Saccharomyces cerevisiae S288C: one gene and its partners. The protein of the gene in region 1 binds, or shares a complex with, the protein of each later gene. Each region holds a gene or a part of one and is shown in the gene's direction. Other genes may lie near its edges. The genes, in order: GCD6, GCD2, GCN3 and GCD1.

Region 1 (5,701 bases):
ACCATTTTTTTCAAGGAATTTATGGAGAGTTCTGTTAGTATACTCAGAACCACGGTCCATTTGTATAACCAAGACACTGGCCTGAAACTGGTTTTTAATAAAAGCTAGTATCGTAGTAAAAACATCGAGGATAGAGTCCTCGCGACGGTCGTGTAATGGATAAACCCAACGGAATTTTGTTGTCTCATCAGTAAATGAGATGAAATAGGATGGTGCACTATTTGGTAGGTTGTGAACTGGACCAAATATGTCAGTATGTAGGTATTGAAAGGGTTCGTATGAATTTTGGTATTTTAGTCGTGAACCTTTGATATGTCTGTGTTTGGTGCTTTTGCCGATTAAACAATCAGGACATTGATAGTCAATAGCACTAGACCAGTCGACATCTGATTCGTTAAAATACGTGATGGTGTTATTTTTAAGTGAGTATCGAATTGTCTGTGCATTGGCATGCGCAAGCATTCGATGAATGAAAGGATAAGGATATTTGCGTGTACTTTCACTTGTATGGACATTATTGATGGTGGGTACGGAGATATTTGATGGAAGCAAGTACTTTTTAGATACCCAGTAAAAGTCTCCATATTTTACGATAGGTGCAAGTACAGTGCCGTCAGATCGTTCTAAGACGTTTTTGGTAAAGCATGCTGTGATATCTACTGCAGCCAATTCATTCAAACTGAGTAAGTCATAGGCTATGTTAGGAGTGTGCAATACCTTTATTGATGTTTTGGTGTTGTCCTGGAAGTGAAATTGTAGGTCACCAATAGCGTTAATTGGTATATTTCTTTTTTGAGCATCAACTACGTTTATGTCAGGATTAGATGATGCTGAGTGTATGTGATGAGCAGATCTTATAAGGGTTCGTGATGCTCCTGAATCGAGAAGGAGGTGTCCAGGGAGTTCATCATCAGAATGATTAGTATGATTTACTGTAGATTCAGTAAGTTTCTGGCCTAAGATGAAGGTCGTGCTTATTGTTCAATTGAATCGGTTCAGTAGTTGATTTACTGATGGAATCGTTGTCCGTGCTGGGAGAGTTAATAGATGTGGATACATTGTGAGCCCTGGCTGTTTTCGATTTCGAATTATTTGTTTTTTGAGGATTCCGAGCTATAACTTTGGGTTTGGTTGTATTCGTATAGCTGCGAGAATCATTCTTCTCATCACTCCGATTTCTCCTGTAATTAGGTTTGCTGTTTCTCGATCCCTGTTGTTCTTCATAAATAGCATGGATATCTAAGAACAGTTCAGCGACTGTCATATTTAGATGTCGATGACGTGTGTAGCGTAAAAATTTATATTCGCCAGATAGACCTCTCATAATTAATTGGCATGCGACCTTGTTATTGATATGAATGCCATTATTGTTCAGTCTGTCGATAATGTTTGTGACTTTTGTTTCAAATGCATCTGCAGGTGTACTGCCATTATATTGCAAATTTGCCAGGGTCACAATGTCGTTTGCCTCTTGGGTATCAGATTGCATTTTTTCAATACTTTTGGAAAGAATTTTCATGATATCCGTATAATCAACGGATAGGATGTCTTTGACCCAGGTAGGTAGGAATTGAGAGGGAGCAAATATTTGAAAAGTGTTATACAAGAAGGTGAGTTCATCATCAGTGATCTGACGTACGGGTTTTCCGTTTACTGTCGGAATAATACCACCGAGATTCGAGTTTTGTAAAAATTTGATGTATGTTTTAACCCAATTTGGAAAGTCATTAGGTGAGGTTAACATTGGTGGTGGTCTGACATATTTTTTAGTGGATGTCATATCAGAGTCCGCTGAGGATGAATCAGTAAATGTATTACCTGACTCAGGTGATGGAGTGCTCAGAGGCGTTCCAACTGATGATGGATACTGCGGAAACTGTGATTGTGGCCCAGGTGGAAAGTACATAGGCGACATTTGATAAGGTGTATACGGAATCATAGATGGGTGTCCGTAAAATGACCAACCAGATGGATTGGCTTGGTTTTGGGTCATCATGCACTGCTGTGGGTACGGCCCATTCTGTGGAGGTGGTACTGAAGCAGGTTGAGGAGAGGCATGATGGGGGTTCTCTGGAACAGCTGATGAAGCAGGTGTTGTTGTCTGTTGAGAGTTAGCCTTAGTGGAAGCCTTATCATATTCTTGAATTTTGGAAGCTGAAACGTCTAACGGATCTTGATTTGTGTGGACTTCCTTAGAAGTAACCGAAGCACAGGCGCTACCATGAGATATATGTGGGTAATTAGATAATTGTTGGGATTCCATTGTTGATAAAGGCTATAATATTAGGTATACAGAATATACTAGAAGTTCTCCTCGAGGATTTAGGAATCCATAAAAGGGAATCTGCAATTCTACACAATTCTATAAATATTATTATCATCGTTTTATATGTTAATATTCATTGATCCTATTACATTATCAATCCTTGCGTTTCAGCTTCCACTAATTTAGATGACTATTTCTCATCATTTGCGTCATCTTCTAACACCGTATATGATAATATACTAGTAACGTAAATACTAGTTAGTAGATGATAGTTGATTTTTATTCCAACAATGGCCTCTTTAACACTAATATCCCGACAATTTTCCCAAAATTCAAAGAATTCTCAGAAAGAGCTATTTTTTTTTTTAATAAAATTATTAGTACTAATTCCAGTATAAATAACAATGTTATTTACGTCTCTTTCGAAAATGCTCGTGTAGCTCAGTGGTTAGAGCTTCGTGCTTATAGCAACATTCGGTTTCCGAAGTTTCTGTGCCAAAGACCTTTCAAACAGGCCTTTAAAAGCAACGCGACCGTCGTGGGTTCAAACCCCACCTCGAGCACTTTCTCTTTTTTTTTCACACGCGTTTGCAACATGCCCGTATTACATGAGCTTATTTGACTTTAGATGGTTTTCAGTTCTTTTTTTTTTTTTTTTTTTTTTCAGTAGATTAATGCGAAGAGTTAAATCACCAATTCAAAGATGGCAGATGGACCACCTTGTGGGATAAGTATAAAAATAACTAAAAGTGGTCTTGTGTTAAAAATAGAATAGAAACCACTCATAAGGCAAAAGATGGCTGGAAAAAAGGGACAAAAGAAAAGTGGACTAGGCAACCATGGAAAGAACTCTGATATGGATGTTGAAGATCGTCTCCAGGCCGTTGTCTTGACAGACTCTTATGAAACTAGGTTTATGCCACTGACAGCTGTCAAGCCAAGGTGTTTGCTGCCACTGGCTAACGTACCTCTCATTGAATACACCTTAGAATTTTTGGCTAAGGCTGGCGTACATGAAGTTTTCTTAATTTGCTCTTCTCATGCCAACCAAATTAATGACTATATTGAGAATTCTAAGTGGAACTTGCCTTGGTCTCCATTTAAAATTACCACCATTATGTCTCCAGAAGCTAGATGTACGGGTGATGTTATGAGAGATCTAGATAATAGAGGTATCATTACTGGAGATTTTATTTTAGTCAGTGGTGATGTATTGACTAACATCGATTTCAGCAAAATGCTAGAATTTCACAAAAAAATGCATTTGCAAGATAAAGATCACATCTCGACAATGTGTTTGAGCAAAGCGAGTACCTATCCAAAAACAAGAACTATTGAGCCTGCCGCATTTGTCTTAGACAAATCCACCAGTAGGTGTATTTATTACCAAGATTTACCATTACCAAGCTCTAGAGAGAAGACTTCCATTCAGATTGACCCAGAATTGTTGGATAATGTCGATGAATTTGTCATAAGGAATGACCTCATCGATTGTAGAATTGACATTTGTACATCTCATGTACCTTTGATATTTCAAGAAAATTTTGACTACCAATCATTAAGGACAGACTTTGTTAAAGGTGTCATTTCAAGCGATATATTGGGAAAGCATATATATGCCTATTTGACGGACGAATATGCTGTAAGAGTTGAAAGTTGGCAAACTTACGACACCATTTCTCAAGACTTTTTAGGTAGATGGTGTTATCCCTTGGTCTTAGACTCTAACATACAGGACGATCAAACGTATTCTTATGAATCAAGACATATATACAAGGAAAAAGACGTTGTTTTGGCCCAATCCTGTAAAATTGGTAAGTGCACTGCAATTGGATCAGGAACAAAAATCGGAGAGGGTACGAAAATTGAGAATTCCGTGATTGGAAGGAACTGCCAAATCGGTGAAAATATTAGAATCAAGAACAGTTTCATTTGGGATGACTGTATCATCGGAAATAACAGTATAATTGACCATTCATTAATTGCCTCTAATGCCACGTTAGGGAGTAATGTACGCCTAAATGATGGCTGTATAATTGGTTTCAACGTTAAAATTGATGATAATATGGATTTAGATAGAAACACAAAAATATCTGCCAGTCCATTAAAAAATGCCGGCTCAAGAATGTATGATAATGAAAGCAATGAGCAGTTTGACCAAGACCTTGATGATCAGACACTAGCCGTTTCTATTGTTGGAGATAAGGGTGTTGGTTATATTTACGAAAGCGAGGTGTCTGACGATGAAGATAGTTCTACAGAAGCCTGCAAAGAAATAAACACTTTGAGTAACCAATTAGATGAGTTATACTTAAGTGACGATTCAATTTCTTCCGCCACTAAAAAGACAAAGAAAAGAAGAACGATGTCTGTCAATAGTATATACACGGATAGAGAAGAAATTGATTCTGAATTTGAGGACGAAGATTTTGAGAAAGAAGGTATTGCCACCGTGGAGCGTGCTATGGAAAACAATCATGATCTTGACACAGCATTATTAGAATTGAACACCTTGAGAATGAGTATGAACGTGACATATCATGAGGTGAGAATAGCAACAATAACTGCATTATTGAGAAGAGTTTACCACTTTATTGCAACTCAAACATTAGGTCCCAAGGACGCTGTGGTGAAGGTTTTTAATCAGTGGGGACTGTTGTTCAAGAGACAAGCCTTTGATGAAGAAGAGTATATTGATTTGATGAACATCATAATGGAAAAAATTGTAGAACAGAGTTTTGACAAACCGGATTTGATTCTATTTAGTGCATTGGTTTCTCTATACGATAATGACATAATTGAGGAGGATGTCATTTATAAATGGTGGGATAATGTTTCTACTGACCCTCGCTATGATGAAGTCAAGAAATTAACTGTAAAGTGGGTTGAGTGGTTACAGAATGCTGACGAAGAATCTTCCTCAGAAGAGGAATAAAAGTCCACGCAGTACCCTGCATAATCATGTATTACCATAAAAAGGCTTTAATATGAGAAAAAGGTGAGCGCTATATAGATTTAGTAATTTACATGTTACAGAAGCAAAAAGCAAATATATATATATTTTTTATCATATTAGTTTTTATCCTCAGTAGTACTACTGAAATAATAATCTCAGATTTTTTTTTTTCACTTGCCGAGGGACCTTGTCCTAAGTGGCAAAGAACTGAAAAAAAAAAAAATTGAAATGCGGTGGTATCACATGAAGAGTAAATAACTTAAGCAAAAGAGAGGCCACTGAGAGAGTACAAGAAAGGGACAATAACAATAGACAGAAGACTTTTATATTTGTAATAACTTAGCGATGTCCCAATTATTCAATAACTCGCGCTCAGATACCCTTTTCCTAGGAGGTGAAAAAATAAGTGGTGATGATATTCGTAATCAGAATGTTTTGGCTACTATGGCTGTGGCTAACGTCGTCAAGTCATCTTTAGG
Region 2 (4,405 bases), on another chromosome or scaffold:
CAAGGCCAGATACACTGTCAGAACTTTCGGTATCAGAAGAAACGAAAAAATTGCTGTTCACGTTACCGTCAGAGGTCCAAAGGCTGAAGAAATTTTGGAAAGAGGTTTGAAGGTCAAGGAATACCAATTGAGAGACAGAAACTTCTCTGCTACCGGTAACTTCGGTTTCGGTATTGACGAACACATTGACTTGGGTATCAAGTATGACCCATCCATCGGTATTTTCGGTATGGATTTCTATGTCGTCATGAACAGACCAGGTGCTAGAGTCACTAGAAGAAAGAGATGTAAGGGTACTGTTGGTAACTCCCACAAGACAACTAAGGAAGACACCGTCTCTTGGTTCAAGCAAAAGTACGACGCTGATGTGCTCGATAAATAATTTGGTCTCGGTATAGTCAGTGACAACATCAACTACTTAATATATAAGAACAAATAAAATATCCCAAAAATATCATATATCCTCATCACATTTGCAAGTCTAGCGCTTCGATGCGTTGTGAACACTTTGTCAATGTATTTAGTTGTATTCATACCCAATTTATTGGCACTTATTTGATACTCACCATGCAGGGTAATAGAAAATGTGCTGAAAAAAAGCTAAACCTTTCTTATTAAGAAAATGGGAACCATAACAGTGGTGATTAATGAGGGACCAATACTGTTGATAAGGGCATTGCACCGAGCAACGACCAACAAGAAAATGTTCAGAAGTACAGTTTGGAGACGTTTTGCATCTACCGGCGAAATTGCGAAAGCAAAGCTGGATGAATTCTTGATATACCACAAGACAGATGCGAAACTAAAACCATTCATTTACCGTCCCAAGAATGCTCAGATATTGTTAACTAAAGATATTAGGGATCCAAAAACAAGGGAACCATTACAACCGAGACCTCCCGTAAAGCCACTGTCGAAGCAAACGTTAAATGATTTTATTTATTCGGTTGAACCCAACTCGACAGAACTACTAGATTGGTTCAAAGAATGGACAGGGACCTCCATAAGAAAGCGCGCTATTTGGACGTACATCTCACCAATTCATGTTCAAAAGATGTTGACTGCGTCATTTTTCAAAATCGGTAAATATGCGCACATGGTAGGACTCTTATATGGTATTGAGCACAAGTTTCTCAAAGCGCAAAATCCATCCGTATTTGATATCGAGCATTTTTTTAATACTAATATCATGTGTGCTTTGCATCGAAATAGGTTGAAAGACTATAAAGATGCAGAAATTGCTCAGAGGAAACTGCAGGTTGCTTGGAAAAAGGTATTAAATAGAAAAAATAATACTGGACTAGCAAATATTCTTGTTGCAACATTAGGTAGACAGATTGGATTTACCCCAGAGCTGACGGGCTTGCAACCTGTAGATATTAGTTTACCAGATATCCCCAATTCATCAAGTGGCGCGGAACTAAAGGACTTGCTAAGCAAATACGAGGGGATATACCTTATTGCAAGAACATTATTGGACATCGATCAACACAATGCTCAATATCTAGAATTGCAAGAATTTATACGCCAATATCAAAATGCATTAAGTGAATCCAGCGATCCATACGACACGCATTTGAAAGCGTTGGGACTGTTGGAAACACCACCTCCTCAGGAATCCACCGAAAAAGAGGAAAAATAGTACCAAAACACCCCATAGGAAATATATAAATAAACATACCTGTAAATACTAAAAAGTAGAACACAGTTCGTCACATATATTGCTATTATTGTATTAATTATGTTTATATTTACCCGGGAATCTCTTCACAATTTTCAGTACCTCTCGCTTTTTTCCAATTTTTCAATTTTTTTTTTTCGAGTTTAGTGAAAATGAGTATTCTACAACAAGGCATCACCAGCTATAGATAATCAGCGTAAGTGCATAAGATCTTATTTTCACCACGTAAGAAATACGTTGTCAAAGAAGCGTCGATAATCAAATTGCTATGAGCGAATCGGAAGCCAAATCTAGGTCGGCTACACCGCCAAGTAAAGCTAAACAAGCTACTCCAACAACTACAGCTGCAGCTAATGGAGAAAAGAAATTAACAAACAAGGAGCTAAAAGAACTAAAGAAACAAGAAAAAGCTGCAAAGAGAGCTGCAATGAAGCAGGCTAATGGTATATCCATTGAACAACAGCAACAACAAGCACAAATGAAAAAAGAGAAGAAACAACTACAACGTGAGCAACAACAGAAAAGAGAGCAAAAGCAAAAAAATGCCAATAAAAAAAAACAAAATGAACGAAACGTGAAAAAGAGCACACTTTTTGGTCATCTGGAAACTACTGAAGAAAGAAGAGCGACAATTTTAGCTTTAACCAGTGCAGTATCATCTCCAAAAACTTCGCGAATCACCGCTGCTGGGTTGATGGTCCCCGTGGTGGCTAGTGCATTATCAGGATCTAACGTATTAACGGCTTCTTCCTTGATGCCCGTGGGTCCAAACGCGTCGTCTACTGTATCTGCATCAGCTCCAGCTTCAACAACAACGACTCTTCCTGCCTCTTCTGCAGCACTCTCTGCCGGTACCAGTTCTGCGTCAACAAATACTCCAACAGCTATACAACAAGAGATTGCTTCATCAAACGCTTCTGATGTTGCCAAGACATTGGCATCTATCTCGTTAGAGGCTGGTGAGTTTAATGTCATTCCCGGTATATCGTCAGTGATCCCTACCGTGTTAGAACAATCATTTGACAACTCCAGCTTGATATCGTCTGTTAAGGAACTTTTATTGAATAAAGACCTTATCCATCCGTCGATATTATTATTAACTTCTCATCTAGCACACTATAAAATCGTGGGATCCATCCCACGTTGCATAGCCATGCTAGAGGTTTTCCAAATTGTTATCAAAGACTATCAAACACCTAAGGGAACTACCTTGTCACGTAACTTAACAAGTTATTTGTCACACCAGATTGATCTTTTGAAAAAAGCTAGACCTTTAAGTGTTACTATGGGTAATGCTATCAGATGGTTAAAGCAAGAAATTTCATTAATTGACCCATCTACCCCCGACAAAGCCGCCAAAAAAGACCTTTGTGAGAAAATTGGGCAGTTTGCTAAAGAAAAAATCGAACTGGCTGATCAACTAATTATAGACAATGCCTCTACACAAATTGAAGAATCTACTACTATTGTGACATATGGTTCATCAAAGGTTCTAACTGAACTGTTACTGCATAATGCAATCAGTTTAAAGAAAAACATCAAAGTGATTGTCGTCGATTCGAGACCACTATTTGAAGGGCGGAAAATGGCAGAAACTTTAAGAAATGCTGGTGTCAATGTTATGTATGCACTTATTACAAGTTTGGATACGATATTCAATATGGATGTGGACTATGTGTTTTTAGGAGCCCATTCTATCCTATCTAATGGGTTCCTATATTCAAGAGCTGGGACAGCAATGTTGGCTATGAGCGCTAAGAGAAGAAATATACCTGTATTAGTCTGCTGCGAAAGTTTGAAGTTTTCACAAAGAGTACAATTGGATAGTGTCACATTTAATGAACTGGCAGATCCAAATGACCTGGTTAATATAGATTACGAAAATCCAGTCGAGAGACGCGGTAATAAAGGTGCGTTATTAAACCAATTTATCAAAGAAAGAAAATTTGAAAAGAAAAAGCTAGCAATGGAGAATAAGCCAAAGGGTAATAAAATTGGCGGTAAGAAAGGATCTGAAGGAGAAAGCAAGGACGCCAGTAATGAAGAAGACAGCAACAGCAAAAATATTTTGGATGGTTGGCAAGAGTTACCTTCGTTAAATATTGTCAACATCTTATACGATTTAACACCACCAGAATATATTAAAAAAGTGATCACTGAATTCGGCGCTTTGCCACCTTCATCTGTCCCTGTTATTTTAAGAGAGTACAAAGGTTCCGCATAAGCATATACAACATTCGTTAATGGTCGTCCACGTGTGTATACTACATATATATTATATATATATATATATATACATATATATATATATTACACCTAATACGATGAAAAAATACATCTAATGAAAAGAATTGTTTTTATCCTTAGCTTTCCAAAAAGCTTGGTATATATAACAAGATTTAGGCTAGAGAAATGATGTAATTATATAGGGCTATATACAGAGTAAAAGAAACAAAAACGGAGAAAAAAAGCAAGCAAAATGTTACTCTCAGTCATCGATATCGTTAGCTTCAGCAACCGCATCAGATTCGGCCTTGCTTCCAACAACTCCTTTAACGAAAGAAGCCACATTAGCAGGAGGCAAGATGGCAATCATTAATATAATATATTCGTAAATGGCTTCAGGAATGGATCTTTGGTAAATTCCCAATAAATCGGCTGGCTGAGGGTATACAGTCAATGCTTTATAAAACTTAGAGGCTGCTTCCAGTTCCTTACCTTGTT
Region 3 (4,516 bases), on another chromosome or scaffold:
ATGTTGAATTTAGATACACCATTGTGCATACATCTTATTTTTCCCAAACGGTGTAACAATGCCTCGGAAACCTGATGACGAATTGCTAAAATAATACGGCATTGTACGGCACCAGGACTGGCAACGTAGCATTTCCAATATTATAATATTTTTACTCAATAACTGAAAAGATAATAAGAAAATTATAAAAGTAAAAAAATTCTTCCCCGCCAGGACTTGAACCTGGAATCTTCTGGTTCGTAGCCAGACGCCGTGACCATTGGGCCACGAGGAACAAGAATTATTAAGAGACATTAAAAATTGAGAACCCTAAGTATCAGCACTATTTATTGCATGATTTTTTACCTAATATAGTAGTTCAAATTACCAGACCCAACTAATCCTGCTCTAAGAAGTAAGAAATGTGTGAATTTTGAAATAATTGTTGGGTTCCATTGTGAATAAAAGCTATCATTGAGAAATGTTTGAATAATATGATAATTACTGGTGTTCCATTATTGTTGAAGGCTATGATACACAATATACTAAAAGTTCTCTTCGAGGATATTAGAAATGCGGAAGAAGGAATCGGTATTCATGAATAGTAATGTTATTGTCTCGTTTTTTTACTTTATATGCTTATTCTTTATCTTGTTACGTTATCAATGCTTGCATTTCAGCTTCTATTATATTTAATAACCGTTTCTCATTCTTAATGTCATCTTCTTACACTGTGTATGAGAACATACTGCTAATTTGTGTGCTAGTGCATAGATGGTAGTTAATTCTTATTCAGACAAAAAGTTTTAGTATCTGATCTGTTGTTAAACATGTTAGATAAGTATTTTTTGGAATAAAGATCCACTATCGTATATTGGCTAGCGGTCGTGACACTAATATGTTATTACATACTGCATAAATAGAATACACAAATCGTGAGGTACAGTCATCCAATGTTGTGGAAGTCGATACTCAAGACCTAAAGAAAAATAAAATTTCTGAATGAAAAACATAACGATAGTAAAAATGAGCGGTATGTTATGACATAGGAGATAGAAGAACAAAACTGATCTGATCAAATTATTTTAAGAATATTTTACTAGTATGTTTACTACATGACAATCTGCAGCAGTGCCAGCTACATGGTGATCTCTCCAAAACAGACCAAACAATTTGCGCTTGTATTGCTTTTCAAAATAAAACTAAACATATGTAATTGTGCTTACAAGAATTGCTAGCTATATCTTATGTTGGTAATAGATAACGATTAGTAATACCTTTTATGAGAAAGAATAAGGAGGCAATGCCATCATTTTCGCCACATTAAGAGTGCACGACTCTATCCAGGGAATTTGATACAACACAGCAACATTGTCGCCATATTTAAAGCTTTCTACATAGCATAATGTTTTTTTTTTTTTACAATAGATAAATTTCATCCGGAAGAAAAATGAAAAAAAAATGAAAAAATTGGTGAAGTTTATGGTGTAAAATGAGAATCATACTGCTCAAATAGTGACAAAGCCATCATTAATCATAGATTTCTTCATAGTAATTGATAGAAAGAATTTTAAAAGTCCTACGTATACCAGAAATCGAGAGGAAGGATGTCGGAGTTTAATATTACAGAAACTTATCTAAGGTTTTTAGAAGAAGATACTGAGATGACAATGCCGATTGCTGCCATTGAAGCATTGGTCACGCTATTAAGAATAAAAACACCAGAAACAGCGGCAGAAATGATTAATACAATAAAAAGCTCCACGGAAGAACTTATTAAATCCATTCCGAACTCAGTTTCCCTGAGAGCCGGTTGTGATATTTTCATGAGATTTGTCTTAAGAAATCTTCATTTATACGGTGATTGGGAAAACTGTAAACAACATTTGATTGAAAATGGCCAGCTTTTTGTATCGAGAGCCAAAAAATCGCGTAACAAGATTGCAGAAATAGGGGTGGATTTCATAGCTGATGATGATATCATCTTGGTACATGGTTATTCGAGAGCAGTATTTTCTTTATTAAATCATGCAGCAAATAAGTTTATTAGGTTCAGATGTGTGGTGACAGAATCAAGACCTAGCAAACAAGGGAACCAGCTATATACTTTACTTGAACAAAAGGGCATACCCGTGACTCTTATTGTCGATAGCGCGGTTGGAGCGGTAATCGATAAGGTTGACAAAGTGTTCGTTGGTGCTGAGGGTGTTGCTGAATCAGGTGGTATTATAAATCTCGTGGGTACCTATTCAGTGGGTGTTTTAGCACATAATGCAAGAAAACCATTCTATGTGGTCACTGAAAGTCACAAATTTGTTCGTATGTTTCCATTGTCTTCAGATGATCTACCTATGGCCGGCCCTCCTTTGGATTTCACACGTCGTACGGACGATCTAGAAGATGCATTGCGTGGGCCCACGATCGACTATACCGCCCAAGAATACATTACTGCATTGATTACAGATTTAGGGGTCCTCACTCCAAGTGCCGTTTCAGAAGAGTTAATCAAGATGTGGTATGATTAAAAAAAATCACATAATATATGCACGCAATGACTTAATAGAAAAGGAGAAAAAGCGCAAGAGCATCCTTTATGTGAAACTGATGTCTGATGCTGTTCTTTCTTCATGATGCATTATGTACTTCAAACTAGATTATCTATATAGTCTTCTTGTTTCTCTAAGGCTACTAAAGTTTTATCTTCAGCTTCTTTCACGATAGTATCTTTGAACTGTTCAAACGTGCCTTCTGCCCAGGTCAATTCAATATTAGCCTCTTCATCGGCGACTTTATGTGCCAGCAGGGAGCCAGTGAGTCTGTTTTGCGAAGGGTCGTTGACGCTCTTTACAGACATGGTAACCACTTGAGCGCGTTGTGATGAAGGATTAGGGTTCCTTCTGGCGTCCTCTTGCTTTCTTGTTACATTTGCGTCGTCGATATATTTGAAAAATGGCTTCAATTGTGCTACCCTCTCAATAGGTACCAAATAAACCTGCATATCTTTGACAAATGCTGCATATTGGCCATTGTTTTCCACACCCACGCCTTTTAATGTTTGGACATTAACCCCATTCCATTCGCTCTCAGCCTTATCCTTGTTATAGAAGGCCTGCTCATCCAAAGGAATATCTATTTCCCATAGGTGCGACTTGGGTTTATATCTTGCTGCAGAGATAAACGGATGCTCAGCAGGTTTGCGTCCTACTAGCCTTGGTCTATTAGCATACTGAAACACGTGCAGTGACTCCTCTTCTCCGGAGATCTTCAATGGAAACTCTTCGATCACTGGGTCATCCTCTTCTTCTTCACCAGTATCATCTTCAGCTTTTACTTCTTCGGATTTTTCCTCTTGCTCATTAGCTATAGCGCTGTTTGTTCCGTTCTCATCCGCTATCATATCAATGTCGTTAGATTCATCCTCAACATCAGCACGGTCCTGCGTCCTGTCTTCCTCATCCTCTTCAGTAACAAACAACTTGTTGTCAATACTCATCTATAACACTAGCCTATTCCACTTTCACCTTGCACTGCTTGAGCCAGATCATTTAAGCTCATCTCTCGCTTTTATCCATCTTTTGCATTCATTGTAACATTTCTTTTTTTCTTGAATAATTTTGTCAGAATACTAACCCTAAGGCCTGAAAAATGAACAGAGTTTTTATAAAATTTCAGTTTAAAATTGAATGTTGCCCTAACAATATGGATTAAAAACCCTGACATATTAGGTTTCCATTTTACTTGAAAAATTTGCGATGAGCTTAGGAAAATAAAAGATTGAGTACTTGTATGTGATATTTCTAATTTAAGAAAGTACGATTGTTTATATTCTTTTTCCTTTGGGATTATTCATATTCCAAATAAGCATACTTATTCAGCAATTTAACACCAAGATGAGCGATGAAGATTCTATGCTGTTAAACTTCACTACCAATGAGGACACTGCAGGAAGTTCCTATAAGCAAGCTGCCAAGGTGACAGGCGGTAGATGGAAGGATAGAAGAAGAATGAAAATGAAGCTTGAGGGCAAGACAGTCTCGAGGAAAAGAAAGGCGAACACTACAGGGGACGAAGGGATAATTCCGGGTAGAGGCGAGAATTCTATTAAAAAATTGCATAAGGAGAGTTCCTATAGTTCTGAAGAGCAGGAAAAATATAAGGGTAGAAATGCTCATAACACTCAAGGGAGAACTCTACCAGCCGATTCTCAGTTTGTTTCATCCCTGTTTACATCTAACAGAGAGATTACAACTGCGGTAAACACTAATATTCATGATGAAAACGTTGCCATCAATCCGTCTAACGCGCCCTTGAAAGGTGATCAGTTTGCGTCTTTAGGTGTCTCTAGTCTTCTTGTTTCTCATCTGGAGCAAAAAATGCGTATTAAAAAGCCTACGAGCATCCAGAAGCAGGCCATACCTCAAATAATAGGTAACGCGGGGAAGAACGATTTTTTCATTCACGCCCAAACAGGCTCAGGTAAGACTTTATCGTATCTTTTACCTATAATATCTACTATTTTGAACATGGATACTCATGT
Region 4 (4,172 bases), on another chromosome or scaffold:
GCCAACTTACATATACACGTCATATCCAAAGATTTCCATTCGGTAAGATTGAAGAACAAAAAACATTATAATTCATTTAATACTGGATTCTTCATTAGTTGGGACGATTTACCATTGAACGGAAAAAATTTGGGCACTGACAAGGAAATTGAAACTACGTACCTGAAAGAACACGATTTACTTTGCTGCTATTGTCAGCGAAATTTTAGTAATAAATTTAGCTTATTGAAAAAGCATTTAGAACTAGAGTTCAATAGCCATTTCGAGCTTAAATAAGGCAAGCTTTCTCGCATTTCTTTTTGTTACTGATATACACATACCTATACATACACATGTCTTTTTAACATCATAATTTTTGGTATTCTATAGTGCCTTCCAATTTCTTAACTTCAGCTACTTTTCTTACGGCTTTCATTAAATCATCAGGGTTGATGTGATCACGGTCATCTCTTATGGCGAAAAAACCTGCTTCAGTTGCACAGTTACGAATATCAGCACCATTGAAACCATCACTCATTTTTACAGCAGCCTCGAAGTCAAATTCCCCTGTTTTTTTGACTTTTGCAGTATGAATTTTGAAAATTTCTAATCTGCCGGCCTCATTTGGCAATGGGATTTCAACTTTCCTGTCTAGTCTACCGGGCCTCAACAAAGCAGGATCTAAAGTATCTGGTCTATTCGTAGCCATGATGATTTTAGTCTGTCCAAGATTATCAAAACCATCCATCTGGGTCAACAACTCCATCAACGTACGTTGAATTTCACGGTCTGCTGAAGTACCTTCACTGAATCTTCTACCACCAATAGCATCCACTTCATCCATAAAAATGATGCAAGGTTCGTGTTCCTTTGCATATGCAAACATTTCTCTAATAATACGAGCAGACTCACCAATGTATTTATCCACAATACCAGACGCTGGAGAGAAAATGAAGTTGGCTCCAATCGTAGCAGCAACTGCCTTCGCTAGTAAAGTTTTACCAGTACCAGGGGGACCATATAGTAGCACACCCTTTGGAGGTTTGATACCGACCCTCTGGAAAATTTCTGGGTTCTTCAATGGTAATTCTATAACCTCCCTTAATTCTCTGATTTGCTCAGTCAAACCACCAATACCATCAAAAGTGATTTCACCTTGTTCAAAACTGGTCATATTATACACCAGTGGATCTGTCTCTCTGGGCAAAATTCTCATTATAGTCAAAGTGGTGATATCTAAGGTGACTCTCACCCCTTTCTTTAATTTAGAGCGATCTACCGAATTCCTAACTCCGACAATATAACGTGGGCCCGAAGAGGCCTTCACTATATATTTCTCTTCAGATAATTCCTTCATGACTTCGCCAATCAATTGTCCAATACTTTGCAAAGCTTTTATGTCGTTTTCAGTCTTGTCATATAACTTCTCTAGATCTCGTATATTTTGACGGCGCTGCTTCAATTGATCATCATACCTTCTGTGTTCTAGCAGCTTTCTCTTGAATTGATTCAAGGCCTTGTTATGGGCCTCCTGTTCAGGATCCACTCTAGAAGGCTCCTCTTCATGATGTTCTTCCGTTTCCTGTGGTTGTTCTGGTTGTTGTTCGTGTGACTGTTGGGTGTGATTGTCGCCGGACGTTTCCCCCAATCCTGCTAATAAAGGGTCCTGTTCTTCACTCATTCTTAGTTATTAATATCTTTGCTTCGTCTGTTATCTTTGGAACCGGTGCGAGGTACTAGATTTAATTTACTTCACTATGGTATTTCAAGCTTCCTTTCCCTTCGGTGGCAAATTCCACTATTTGAAAGGTCACCCGCCTATCGCAAAATTTTTCACTTCTCATCACTATATTGAAATATAACAATCAAGCACTTTACGATGCAACAGAAAATGCTGAACGCTGTGCTGACCAAAAGTTCCCACCGTTGATAGCTCCCCCCCCTATTGTCGTAGTCATGTCAATTCAGGCTTTTGTCTTTTGCGGTAAAGGTTCCAATTTGGCTCCCTTCACCCAGCCAGATTTTCCATTCCAAACGCAGAACAAAGACAGTACAGCTGCCACGAGCGGTGACAAACTTAATGAGTTGGTCAATAGCGCCCTCGATTCAACTGTCATAAATGAGTTCATGCAACATTCAACGCGCTTGCCCAAGGCTCTTTTGCCCATCGGTAATAGACCTATGATTGAATACGTCTTGGATTGGTGTGATCAGGCAGATTTCAAAGAAATCAGTGTGGTCGCACCCGTTGACGAAATCGAATTAATTGAAAGTGGACTGACTTCGTTTTTGTCCCTAAGAAAGCAACAATTTGAACTAATATACAAGGCTTTGTCAAATTCCAACCACAGTCATCACTTGCAAGATCCTAAGAAAATTAATTTCATCCCTTCGAAGGCAAATTCTACAGGTGAGTCCTTGCAAAAAGAGCTTTTGCCTAGAATCAATGGCGATTTTGTAATCTTGCCCTGTGATTTTGTCACAGATATACCTCCACAAGTCTTGGTCGATCAATTTAGGAATAGGGATGATAATAACCTAGCAATGACTATCTACTATAAGAACTCTTTAGATAGTAGTATCGATAAAAAGCAACAGCAAAAGCAAAAACAACAGCAATTTTTCACTGTTTATTCAGAAAACGAAGACTCAGAGAGGCAGCCAATACTTTTGGACGTTTATTCTCAAAGGGACGTCACAAAGACAAAATATCTACAGATCAGATCTCATTTATTATGGAACTATCCAAATTTAACAGTATCCACTAAGTTACTGAACTCATTCATCTACTTTTGTTCCTTTGAACTTTGCCAGTTGTTAAAATTAGGACCTCAATCAATGTCAAGACAAGCTTCATTCAAAGATCCATTTACTGGAAACCAACAACAGCAAAACCCTCCTACTACTGATGATGATGAAGATCGCAATCATGATGATGACGATGATTACAAACCTTCGGCTACATCTATCCAGCCTACCTACTTCAAAAAAAAGAATGATCTCATCTTGGACCCAATAAACTGTAATAAATCATTGAGTAAGGTTTTTAGAGATTTATCTCGTCGTTCGTGGCAACATTCGAAACCGAGGGAACCAATAGGTATTTTTATTTTACCAAACGAAACCTTGTTCATCAGAGCCAATAACTTGAATGCTTACATGGACGCTAATAGATTTGTACTAAAGATAAAATCACAAACGATGTTCACGAAAAATATACAGATTCAATCTGCCGCTATCGGTGCTGATGCCATAGTAGATCCCAAATGCCAAATCTCTGCTCATAGTAATGTCAAGATGTCTGTTCTCGGTACTCAGGCCAATATTGGTTCCAGATGTCGTGTTGCAGGGTCTCTCTTATTTCCTGGAGTCCATCTTGGTGACGAAGTAATCCTGGAAAATTGTATTATTGGACCTATGGCAAAAATCGGTTCAAAGTGTAAACTCAGCAATTGTTATATCGAAGGCCATTATGTTGTGGAGCCTAAAAATAACTTTAAAGGTGAAACACTGGCCAACGTTTATTTGGATGAAGATGAGGAGGACGAGTTAATATATGATGATAGTGTTATTGCTGGAGAAAGTGAAATCGCCGAAGAAACTGACAGTGATGATAGAAGCGATGAAGATTCTGATGATAGTGAATATACCGACGAGTACGAGTACGAAGATGACGGATTATTTGAGCGTTAATATAAACTTATGTATATTCCTTCAGTCTCTTTAATAGAGACCAAGTAAGTAAGTGGACGAGAATAGAGGCGATATTATGCATTTATATTTGAAATTCAACAGAACATAATTATGCTTAAGCAAATTAACATGTTGTATTAATACATAGCGTTTTACACATCTATTTCATATATTATGTTATGTTAATTTTTGAATTAATTTTTCTTGTTCTTTCGTTGGATCAATGGCGCAGTTGCTTCTTTGTCACCACTCTCACTCTCACTGTCATCAGAGACTTTTGATTGTTTGTCCTTTACTCTTTGTTCTTGAATTTTTTTATTTTGAATTTTGTTTTCAATCAAATCATCAAACGCGATAATTGACCTAACCAAATTGCTTATATATATAACCATTAATTCATCATTAGTTTTCACAGTTAAAGCCTTTTGTAAGTTATTTGAAATATTAATTCTGTCATGATTCTCCACATCTATTTCGTCATCATCAGGTGTTCCCAGATT

What was found.
Region 2: GCD6 (region 1) and GCD2 share a complex: the UniProt entries of both Saccharomyces cerevisiae proteins name them as parts of the translation initiation factor 2B (eIF2B) complex.
Region 3: the proteins of GCD6 (region 1) and GCN3 are in contact, whole or in part, in a cryo-EM structure (PDB 6QG0), measured with the Saccharomyces cerevisiae proteins. Residues at the interface, in NP_010497.3 of Saccharomyces cerevisiae: Glu321 (codon at 4,023), Lys327 (codon at 4,041), Val331 (codon at 4,053), Val332 (codon at 4,056), Leu333 (codon at 4,059), Ala334 (codon at 4,062), Gln335 (codon at 4,065), Ser336 (codon at 4,068), Cys337 (codon at 4,071), Ile339 (codon at 4,077); in NP_012951.1 of Saccharomyces cerevisiae: Asp122 (codon at 1,950), Phe146 (codon at 2,022), Arg148 (codon at 2,028), Phe149 (codon at 2,031), Arg150 (codon at 2,034), Ile174 (codon at 2,106), Pro175 (codon at 2,109).
Region 4: the proteins of GCD6 (region 1) and GCD1 are in contact, whole or in part, in a cryo-EM structure (PDB 6I7T), measured with the Saccharomyces cerevisiae proteins. Residues at the interface, in NP_010497.3 of Saccharomyces cerevisiae: Pro175 (codon at 3,585), Lys176 (codon at 3,588), Lys189 (codon at 3,627), Leu200 (codon at 3,660), Pro201 (codon at 3,663), Leu202 (codon at 3,666), Pro203 (codon at 3,669), Ser205 (codon at 3,675), Arg206 (codon at 3,678), Lys208 (codon at 3,684), Thr209 (codon at 3,687), Ser210 (codon at 3,690), Ile211 (codon at 3,693), Gln212 (codon at 3,696), Ile213 (codon at 3,699), Asp214 (codon at 3,702), Pro215 (codon at 3,705), Glu216 (codon at 3,708), Asp222 (codon at 3,726), Glu223 (codon at 3,729), Phe224 (codon at 3,732), Val225 (codon at 3,735), Ile226 (codon at 3,738), Arg227 (codon at 3,741), Asn228 (codon at 3,744), Asp229 (codon at 3,747); in NP_014903.1 of Saccharomyces cerevisiae: Lys202 (codon at 2,539), Gln217 (codon at 2,584), Val225 (codon at 2,608), Thr248 (codon at 2,677), Tyr252 (codon at 2,689), Leu253 (codon at 2,692), Gln254 (codon at 2,695), Ile255 (codon at 2,698), Arg256 (codon at 2,701), Ser257 (codon at 2,704), His258 (codon at 2,707), Leu260 (codon at 2,713), Trp261 (codon at 2,716), Pro264 (codon at 2,725), Asn265 (codon at 2,728), Leu266 (codon at 2,731), Thr267 (codon at 2,734), Val268 (codon at 2,737), Ser269 (codon at 2,740), Thr270 (codon at 2,743), Lys271 (codon at 2,746), Asn308 (codon at 2,857), Gln309 (codon at 2,860).

The regions. Positions count from the first base shown.
Region 1 is NC_001136.10:881,665-887,365, forward strand, and holds GCD6 (translation initiation factor eIF2B catalytic subunit epsilon), read left to right. Parts: upstream 1-3,062; coding exon 3,063-5,201; downstream 5,202-5,701. Other genes in the region: YDR210C-C (gag protein), read right to left, coding at 941-2,263; chaperonin-containing T-complex alpha subunit TCP1, read left to right, coding at 5,568-5,701. UniProt on the Saccharomyces cerevisiae protein: Acts as a catalytic component of the translation initiation factor 2B (eIF2B) complex, which catalyzes the exchange of GDP for GTP on eukaryotic initiation factor 2 (eIF2) and is regulated by phosphorylated eIF2.
Region 2 is NC_001139.9:644,360-648,764, reverse strand, and holds GCD2 (translation initiation factor eIF2B subunit delta), read left to right. Parts: upstream 1-1,949; coding exon 1,950-3,905; downstream 3,906-4,405. Other genes in the region: 60S ribosomal protein uL5 RPL11B, read left to right, coding at 1-382; mitochondrial 37S ribosomal protein mS44 MRP13, read left to right, coding at 623-1,642; TOM complex receptor protein TOM20, read right to left, coding at 4,170-4,405. UniProt on the Saccharomyces cerevisiae protein: Acts as a component of the translation initiation factor 2B (eIF2B) complex, which catalyzes the exchange of GDP for GTP on the eukaryotic initiation factor 2 (eIF2) complex gamma subunit.
Region 3 is NC_001143.9:486,726-491,241, reverse strand, and holds GCN3 (translation initiation factor eIF2B subunit alpha), read left to right. Parts: upstream 1-1,586; coding exon 1,587-2,504; downstream 2,505-4,516. Other genes in the region: RPC37 (DNA-directed RNA polymerase III subunit C37), read right to left, coding at 2,624-3,472; DBP7 (putative ATP-dependent RNA helicase), read left to right, coding at 3,870-4,516. UniProt on the Saccharomyces cerevisiae protein: Acts as a component of the translation initiation factor 2B (eIF2B) complex, which catalyzes the exchange of GDP for GTP on the eukaryotic initiation factor 2 (eIF2) complex gamma subunit.
Region 4 is NC_001147.6:812,049-816,220, forward strand, and holds GCD1 (translation initiation factor eIF2B subunit gamma), read left to right. Parts: upstream 1-1,935; coding exon 1,936-3,672; downstream 3,673-4,172. Other genes in the region: HNT3 (DNA 5'-adenosine monophosphate hydrolase), read left to right, coding at 1-276; proteasome regulatory particle base subunit RPT4, read right to left, coding at 347-1,660; proteasome regulatory particle lid subunit RPN8, read right to left, coding at 3,867-4,172. UniProt on the Saccharomyces cerevisiae protein: Acts as a component of the translation initiation factor 2B (eIF2B) complex, which catalyzes the exchange of GDP for GTP on the eukaryotic initiation factor 2 (eIF2) complex gamma subunit.